2 linked regions of the Danio rerio genome follow. The protein of the gene in region 1 interacts with the protein of each later gene in a biochemical or structural test. Links are inferred from orthologs where the notes say so. Each region holds a gene or a part of one and is shown on either strand. Other genes may lie near its edges. The genes, in order: snap23.1 and stx4.

Evidence for each region.
Region 2: the proteins of snap23.1 (region 1) and stx4 form a complex in vitro, tested with the Homo sapiens proteins (4 studies listed by BioGRID). The link is inferred for Danio rerio from reciprocal best matches to the Homo sapiens genes SNAP23 and STX4.

Annotation. Positions count from the first base shown.
Region 1 is NC_133192.1:35,124,400-35,128,227, reverse strand, and holds part of snap23.1 (synaptosome associated protein 23.1), read right to left. Parts: intron 3,495-3,828; coding exon of another isoform or gene 3,437-3,494; coding exon 3,380-3,436; intron 3,033-3,379; exon of another isoform or gene 1,486-3,032; coding exon 1,444-1,485; intron 1,352-1,443; coding exon 1,303-1,351; intron 1-1,302. UniProt on the Homo sapiens protein: Essential component of the high affinity receptor for the general membrane fusion machinery and an important regulator of transport vesicle docking and fusion.
Region 2 is NC_133187.1:22,373,958-22,378,561, forward strand, and holds the start of stx4 (syntaxin-4), read left to right. Parts: upstream 1-1,515; 5' UTR 1,516-1,669; coding exon 1,670-1,699; intron 1,700-2,809; coding exon 2,810-2,917; intron 2,918-3,669; coding exon 3,670-3,769; intron 3,770-3,913; coding exon 3,914-3,988; intron 3,989-4,096; coding exon 4,097-4,167; intron 4,168-4,274; coding exon 4,275-4,383; intron 4,384-4,604. UniProt on the Homo sapiens protein: Plasma membrane t-SNARE that mediates docking of transport vesicles. Necessary for the translocation of SLC2A4 from intracellular vesicles to the plasma membrane.

The sequences.
Region 1 (3,828 bases):
CGCGGTTTGGAAAAGTCAAGGTTTTAAAACCGCCAAAATTTTCAGCTATACCATTCCTAAGGTATGTGTAAGATTCGTTTTGTTTTTTAGGACAACAGTATCTCCAGCAGAAAAGATATCCAAAAATGACAATTTAAATGGTAAAGAAAAATGTGTTTTTGAAACAAAATAAGACAGAAAAGTCAGTGACTCGTTTGAGTTATTCAGCCCGACATGTTTACTGCTCCAAAATATTATAAAGGTTTCTCAAAATAAATTATGTTGTGTTCAAAAGGGAAAAAACATGTTTTTCTATCCCGACATTTAAAAAGAATATGTTTTAGAACAGTAATCATAATACTGTTATACCGTGAAACTGTGATATTTTTATCCAAGGTTATCCCATGTCCCATTCCTATTGCATGCATCGACAAAGAACCTTTTCAGCCCTGGTAGACATATCTATTAAATCCAGAGAATTTTCAGTTGGTCTTTTAATTTCTTTATACAGAGCTGTATGTAGGCAAGATTGTGGTTTGGACAGAGTTGGGTGTAAGGCGTTCCACAGTAACGCGTAACTATTCCAAATACCATTTTTGAGGAACGTAGTAATGTAACGAATTACATTTTAAATTAGTGTAATTTGATTACAGTTACTAAAGTCAATGTATTTGTGTTACTTTGCGTTACAAATATATATTTTTAAAGAAAAAAAATGCATCGTTTAAATCACGTTTTCCGCTACGTCAGTTAATTTGCATGCACTTTTAAATAGCTGGAGAACGCAAGCTGAAATGGCTGCTGTCGAAAGTGTTTGCTTCTTCAAGTGGAAATACTGACATTACTTTGATTTCATTGAGCGTAAAAAGAAAAATATTGCTGTGAAATGCAGACTATGTCCAGAACTTTTAACTGCTTTTAACTCGACCAGCAACTTGTTCAAGCACTTAAATAGAAAGCATTCTATGACAATATTAGTCACCAAGGAGGACACTGGCGCCCCAAAACACGGCGGCTCAACTCAGCCTAAACAGGTTCACATATTGCATCTTTTGCGCGCACTTATTGGGAGCACATATTGGATGCGCGCATATTGGAAGTGCGCTCACATTTCCCAGGTGCACCAGATGAAAACCACGAGTCACGAGACAAGAACTGACCGATCAGCTTCATACTTTGGAATATACACATTTAGGTAGACTTATCATTTTAGAGCAGTAATTACAATATCGTGAAACCGTGATATTTTTATCCAAGGTTATCATATCATACCTTACACCGGCCCATGCCTAGTTGTATGTTAATAGTGGTGCAGTCACTTACCGCCCTGCTCATCCAGCATGGTCATTGTTTTGACCCCCGTCTCCCGACTCTGAAAATATACAGGTTTATATAAAGTTAAATATCGTATATGAACTCGAATGAGCAAACAAATCATGCTTTTAATGCCACTGGTGCGCTTACCTCCTCTGCCATCTGCAACATCCGCCTAGTGCTTTCAAGTGACTAAACAAAAATGACAAAAAGAATAATAATAAATAAATAAAAGACATATTCAAAATGTAGTCAAATCATGACAGTACAGTGACACAGAAAACTACTGTGCTGAACATACATTTGCGTTCTGCATGCAAACATCAAACTATGTGTACCTAACACTGCAGCATGCCTTTGGCTCATAAAGTCACATAGTGTGAGTTGTATTCAGTAGGAAAATAATACAAACCTGCTGGTGAATACAGAAATGAATAGAAATATGAAAAGCCAAGATAATTCTATGAAGCCATGCAAGAATCACAGGACATACACACGAACACAATGTGAAAGCAGACTGGAATGATTGTGAAATTATTTTTATTATTGTAATTAAATTAAATTCAAACTTCTACTTTAATGTTTAAAAATTACTAAACAGTACATAAAGTTAAATACCTAATTATCACTTATGTGCTATAAAAAATAAATTATAAATCTATTTATAAACACACAACAGTTCTGTCTAGTTATTGAATCTGATTGAGTGATAGCCGTGCGATATTTTGCAATAACAGCCTTCTTCACTCTTCTGTGTTACTCCACCCACATAGGGTGACAGCATAATAAACTCATTACAGTGACAAATATTGCAGCTGTTGGACAGCATAATGTATTTTTGAGGCTTTTTTAGGCAAGAATGTAGTTGTTTAGATTGCATCTATGCAGTTTATTTATAAGGATAGGGCCTATTTTAAATATTTTTAATTTCGGAGATTGGCAGGCATCAGCCTGTTATATTGAGCAAAGCAAAAACAGTTGCGGCAGAAGATGGCAACAGAGACCACATAAATAGTCCTTAGGGAAGAAAACCCAGCGTTTTCATTTTAAATTTCAAACTACAGCTGATCAAATCATTATAAAACAGGTGAGTGACATTCTAAGTTGATCTCTTTTTTTTGTATGGTTTAGTGCTGTATTTATACCACATATCTCCTGAATGCAGAAAAATACTGGGAAATCTCTTTAGACTGATGGCATTTCATGCCGCTCAACAGCCAGATCAGAGCAAAATCACCTGTTTTGTCTTCACTTTAGACATTACTCAAGAGAATCTTTCAAACACTAGCTCTTACGTGACGTTTGTGAAGTAGCAACAGTTTCTGCCGTTCTGACATCAGCTGCAGATGTGAATGAATTGCAGAAGAAAGTAGTTCCTCTAACAAAAGGCTATACACTCTGCGTGTTTGATTTTCCTTTTTATACACACGATTATGCCGTCGAACTGTTGTATAAACCAAATTCACATGAGTAGCAGTGCAATATGACTGTAGTCACTGGTGGGACACACGCCTCCCACCAGTGCCAATATACAGCCATATTGCACTGCTACTCATGTGATACTGCTCATAAAAAAGTGTGTGTGTGTGTGTGTGTGTGTGTGTGTGTGTGTGTGTGTGTAGGAGGTAGGGTAGGAGTGTTTTAATAAAACAAAATCTCTAGTTTACCCCCAGTCACCCATGCTGATGTCTTTTTCATGCTATTAGTCTCTATTACAGCACACAGGCTCAAGTGAATTCCTTCAGAGGCAGCAAGGAAGAGAAAGAGAGAACAAAACAGTTATGAGTAAAGTAAGAAAGGAGTGAGTTATTGTTACCTGAAGATTTTAGTAGCAGAGAATCACATATTCACAAAGTCAACAAGAATAAACTCATATTTTAGGACACTTAGTGCAAGAAAAATATGATTAGGAAATGCAGCACTGAAAGAGAAGAGTGAGTGATAGGCTTTACTCTCACAAACAATGAGTCTGCAAATATACAGGAACTTGAACGTGTTGTGTTTTGTTTTTTTTTTTTTTTTTTTTTTTTAGGTGTAAAGTTTCTTCATTGTTTTCTGTTTGTTATTGAACAGATGACAGGCGTACCTCATCTGTAACTTGGTTGGCTCTCATTGTGATATCTTCTACTGTCATGTCGGCCATCTTGCTGGTGTCCAAGTTCGCCTCTCCTCCTGTGACCTTAAGTTCCACGCTCTGGGGTCTGAAGGCAAAGGTCAAAGTTTAGAGGCCATTGAATCAAACACAAACGAAGATGCCCACAGAAAAAGCTTTCCCTACTACCTGGAATCTGAAGGAATTCTGTCATCGTTACCCAGCCTGATGTTCATCAAATAAAATGTTTAATGTGAAGCTCTGGAGAGGACTATAAATGTAGTCCTTATTTGTAATTATTTCAGTCTTCGGGCTGTTTTGTGACAATGATTTTAAGTAAAGCATTTTATTTTGGTTGTTCATTGACATTAACCTAAAATGCTAACTTTTGAAAAATGTGTTTCAAAGTCCAATTTTTGAGGACAGTTATACTCTTTGCAAAA
Region 2 (4,604 bases), on another chromosome or scaffold:
AATCTAATTGTTGGGTTTGTATGTGTTTACATGCTAATCAGTAAACTAAAATGGTACTTTGAAAGACTTTTCACTATAATGCTCTTCTGGGAAGCAAAAACTTCTTCATGTCATCACTTTAAAATCTCCAGTTTTGGTTCTTCCTGTCAAATCTATTTTTAGGTTTATGATTTCCAGCTTTCGATTTTCTTTTCTTTCTTTATACAATTACTGATCTGATATCCGTTAAAACTCGCAATTCTGACTTCAAAACTCAGATTCTTTTTGCCCCCTACTGAGTGATGCACCCATGTGGATATGTAAGCCCGTTTTCGCCACTGAGTAATTTTTTTGAAGTAGTTATTGCATTCAGAATTTTAATAATAATTCCTTAACTTTATATAGCACTTTTCTGGACACTCAAAGCACTTTACACATTTTTTGGGGGGTGGGGGAATCTCCTCATCCACCACCATTGTGCAGCATCCACCAGAATGACGGCAGCCATATTGCACCAGAATACACACCAGCTGATTGGTGGAGTGGAGATAGAGTTATGATGCCATGATGGACAGAGGCTAGTAGGCAGCTTTGGCCAGGATGCCGAGGTTAACCCCTGCTCTTTTTTTTCAAAGGACATCCTGGGATTTTTAACGACCACAGAGAGTCAGGTTTAACATCTCATCTGAAAGACAGGACTCACTGACAGTATATTAATGTACCGGCGTGTTAGGAGACATACAGACAGCAGGTTGAGCTGGTCTCCCTAACACACTTGTGGCAATAACCTACAGTTGCTTTCCCATGTGGTATCCCATCCAGGAACTGACCTGGCGCAGCCCTGCTCAACCATGAGAGTTGCAGAGGGCTAGCTGCCGGCAATGCTAATTATAGCTGGCTTTATAACTCTTATGTAATAGCTTTATATAATTGTGACATATATCTCAGAATGCTGTCTTTATATCGCACAATTGCAACTTTATATTTCAGATTTCTGACAAAACCTGTAATTGTGAAGTATATCTCAAAATTCTTGCTTTATTTATTTACTCAGAATTGTGACATTTTATATCTCTGAATTGTGACTTTATCCTAGAATTCTGACTTCATAACTCTAAATTGTAACTTAATCTCTGAATTGTAACTTAGAGTTCTGACTTTATGACTTATATGTGAAAATTATGTCTTTATATCACACAGTTGTGACTTTATGTCTGAGAATTCTGACTTTATAACTCGAAATTTTGATTTTAAATCTCAGAAATCTGAAACAAAAAGCGGGAAAAGATAAAAACTGTTATTCTCTGGCGGAAATTGGCTTCCTTAAATAGCCTCAGTCGTGTCGCTCAGTAGGGGGCAGTAAGAGCCTTGACGGATTTGTCAGACATCCGCAAACTGATAGAGAAGAAGAAAACGGTAAAGTCATATACAGCGACATCGCCCCACACTGATCTCTAAACATAACCAGAGTTTATCCATATAGCATAGATATACACAGCATCTCTCAGCGTCCATCAATATTCTGCTCTGAAAGTTATTTGTGGAAGTTGGCTGGCGTGAAATGTGACTTTCAATGGAAACTCCCTCTTATCTGTTGTGAGTTTTGCAAGTTTATGGTCAGGAGACAGATGAGCTACACCTCTTAAAAACGGGAACATTTCATCTGAGCTGGCCATAAAATACATCGAAAATGCGGGACCGGACCAAAGAACTGGGCAATGTGAGTAATTTCAGGGCAGTGCACGCAGGAAACCGGCTAACTGGCTAACGGGCTAATGTTATTCAGCGGATGTAACTACTGTCACCACTGGCTCGACTGCGATTTATTAACTCCTTCAAGGATTGTAACGAGTCACAATCTATAGTTGTGTGGCTTATTTTCTTGTGTTGGAAAAATATATGGTTAAAGTCCACGAACGGTAGGCTAACACCCTCTTGCAGCACCAGCGCTCTTGGGTAAACGGGGTGTAACTTTATTTAGCCTACAAATAAATACAGCTGCCATGAATGGTTGCATTTGAATATTGATTTTAGTTTTTCTCACAAGAAAGTTAAGCGTTGAATTGGTACTTAACTTTTAGTTGTATTATTATTAATACACTGTCATTCGCTCGGCAATAAAGGTTTATTATCATCCGTTTGTTTTTTCACGTAATTGTGTTGTTGCAGTTTCTTCTGTGGGACTACATTTGCCTTTCGACAAACAAATACCTTTAAATGTCCCAAAGAGAGTCACAAAGGGTTAATTTCACAAAGTTTTTACACTAAATGTTGCACATACTGAAAAATATGAATCTCCTGTATATGGTTTTTACTTCGTTTTCCTGTAAAAGCAAAAAAACTATAATGTTAATAAATTCACACACAATAAAACACACTATCTGTCATGTTAACGTGTTTTTCCTTAAAGCTACTTTTTGTGTAATCCTAAATTAATTAAATTCAAATATATATTTTTCATAAAACATGTCAAGTAAATGTAAAATATATCTTGATTTAAGACTTTCACACATTTGCAAAACGACGAATATAGTGGAAGATGTTTTTTGTAATGTGATGAGAAGAGTAACATTTTTAATGGCTATTCAGTTTTGACTTTTTTTTGTAAGTTTAGAAATAACAGATCTGTTTACTTTTTTTTAAACTTTGAGGTATTATTTAAAATAGATATTTTGCTAACCTTATTTACCTTTATCTAAGCTGCAGAAACACTGTCTTGCACTTTGTATGGTGGTAATATTTTTAAAATATGATAACATACAATATAAAAATTTATTAATAACAATATTCTTAACTATATTCAGTGTCGTATTGTGTACTCTTTTACTAGACTGCTGATGCCTCAGATGAAGATGAAGAAACCGTAGCTCTAATGATAAAGCCTGGATCTGGAACCTCAGCAAATGAAGACAAAGAAAATGAAGCTTTCTTTAAAAAGGTCATTGTAGCACGATTGCTCTCATTTTAACTGCAACTTTCAATACTTTTATGCACTAGTTTTAGGGATCTGTACAGAAGTAGCATGTTGTTTCTGTAATTAATGATTTTTGAACTGAAGTGTGTATTGTTGGTTCTTGTATAATATAATTTAGAAATCCTGCAATTCTGAACTGTGATTTTCTACACTGCAGGTTTCTCACAAATACTGATTAGTACGGTGGCTGAGAGCGCTCAAATGTACTGCACCAACAAAAAACACCAATAAAAAAGCATTTTTTATCAATTATTAATGCAAAAAATGTACAAACAACAAGGAACCTTACGACCAGGACATTAAAATAACCATCAGACAGCAACCCTGACAGGCTCTAAACAGGAAGTAGCTGGGTTTGTCTCTTTTGGGGTTCCCTGACACATTTCTGTCATGTGCTCTTTGCATATGTGCATGTGTTGTGAGAATTTGCTTACACATATTGTCAAACGAATGAACACATTTTCTTAGTTTGGTTTTTCTATATGCATATCTTAGCTTACAGTACATTTGAGCTCTCTCTCCACCACCGTAGATTAGGAACATGCACATGCAAACAGTAATAAAGGAATGAAGCTGTTTAGTGTTTGTGCAAACTTCATGTAATGTCAAACATTACACATAAATTACATTTGGGTCACTTGAATTCCATAACATTTGTGCTTGGAAAGTTTGCATTGAAACTTGACATAAAAATATATTTTCTTTTTTCTATGTAGGTTCAGGAGATTCGAGAGGGACTTGAAACTCTTAAGAGAAAGGTTTCCGAATTGGAGAACAAGCAGAAAACAGTGCTAGGAGTTGCACTTCCAGAGGACAGTAAGTAATTTAGCTTTCACTTGGGTTTTTTATTATTCATTTACATAATCTTATGTTGTGTGTGTGTATTAATTAATAATTATGAAGAGAGTAAGTTAAAGGATAGTGAGTGAATGAGTAAATTATATTTTTCTTTGAGCACAGGTATGAAAAAGGAACTGCAGTCACTCAGAGAAGACATCAAAGGGATGGCCAGCCAGATCCAAAAGAAATTAAAAAGTGAGACTGATAAATAAAATTTTATAAATGAAGCTTTTTTTTTGACAATCAAACTTTTCTGCTCAACCTAACAAATGTGAAAAATTAATCACTTCATTTACATCATAGGTCTTGAACCTAAGAAATTGGAAGTTGAAGAAAAATATATCCCAGTGAATGTAAGAATGAGGAGAACTCAGGTCAGTTGCTTTTATATTTCATGTTTTAATAAATAATTAAACTTAAACAGTGTTGTTTTGCCTGAGAATAATCTGATCTTGTATGTCTCCTCATCATTTTTTGAAAGCATGGTGTTTTGTCCCGTGAATTCCTGGAACTGATGGGTCGCTGTAATACAATTCAAGCCCAATACAGAGACCGAAATGTGGAGAGGATTAAAAGACAACTCAAAATCAGTATGTGCTTATTCTGCTGTGCTTTTTTTCATTGATCTTATTAGCATTCTTACAAAGCCATCTTTTTAATGCACTGTAAGGCCTGGGACACACCAAGCCAATGGTCTGCTGTTGGACTTTGTCTGTCCGTTGATCAGGCTAGTTGGTTTGGTGTATTCTACGTGTCGACTCTCGCCGGGTTAACATTGTTCAATGGCCTGATTCAGTGTCTAGAATCGATG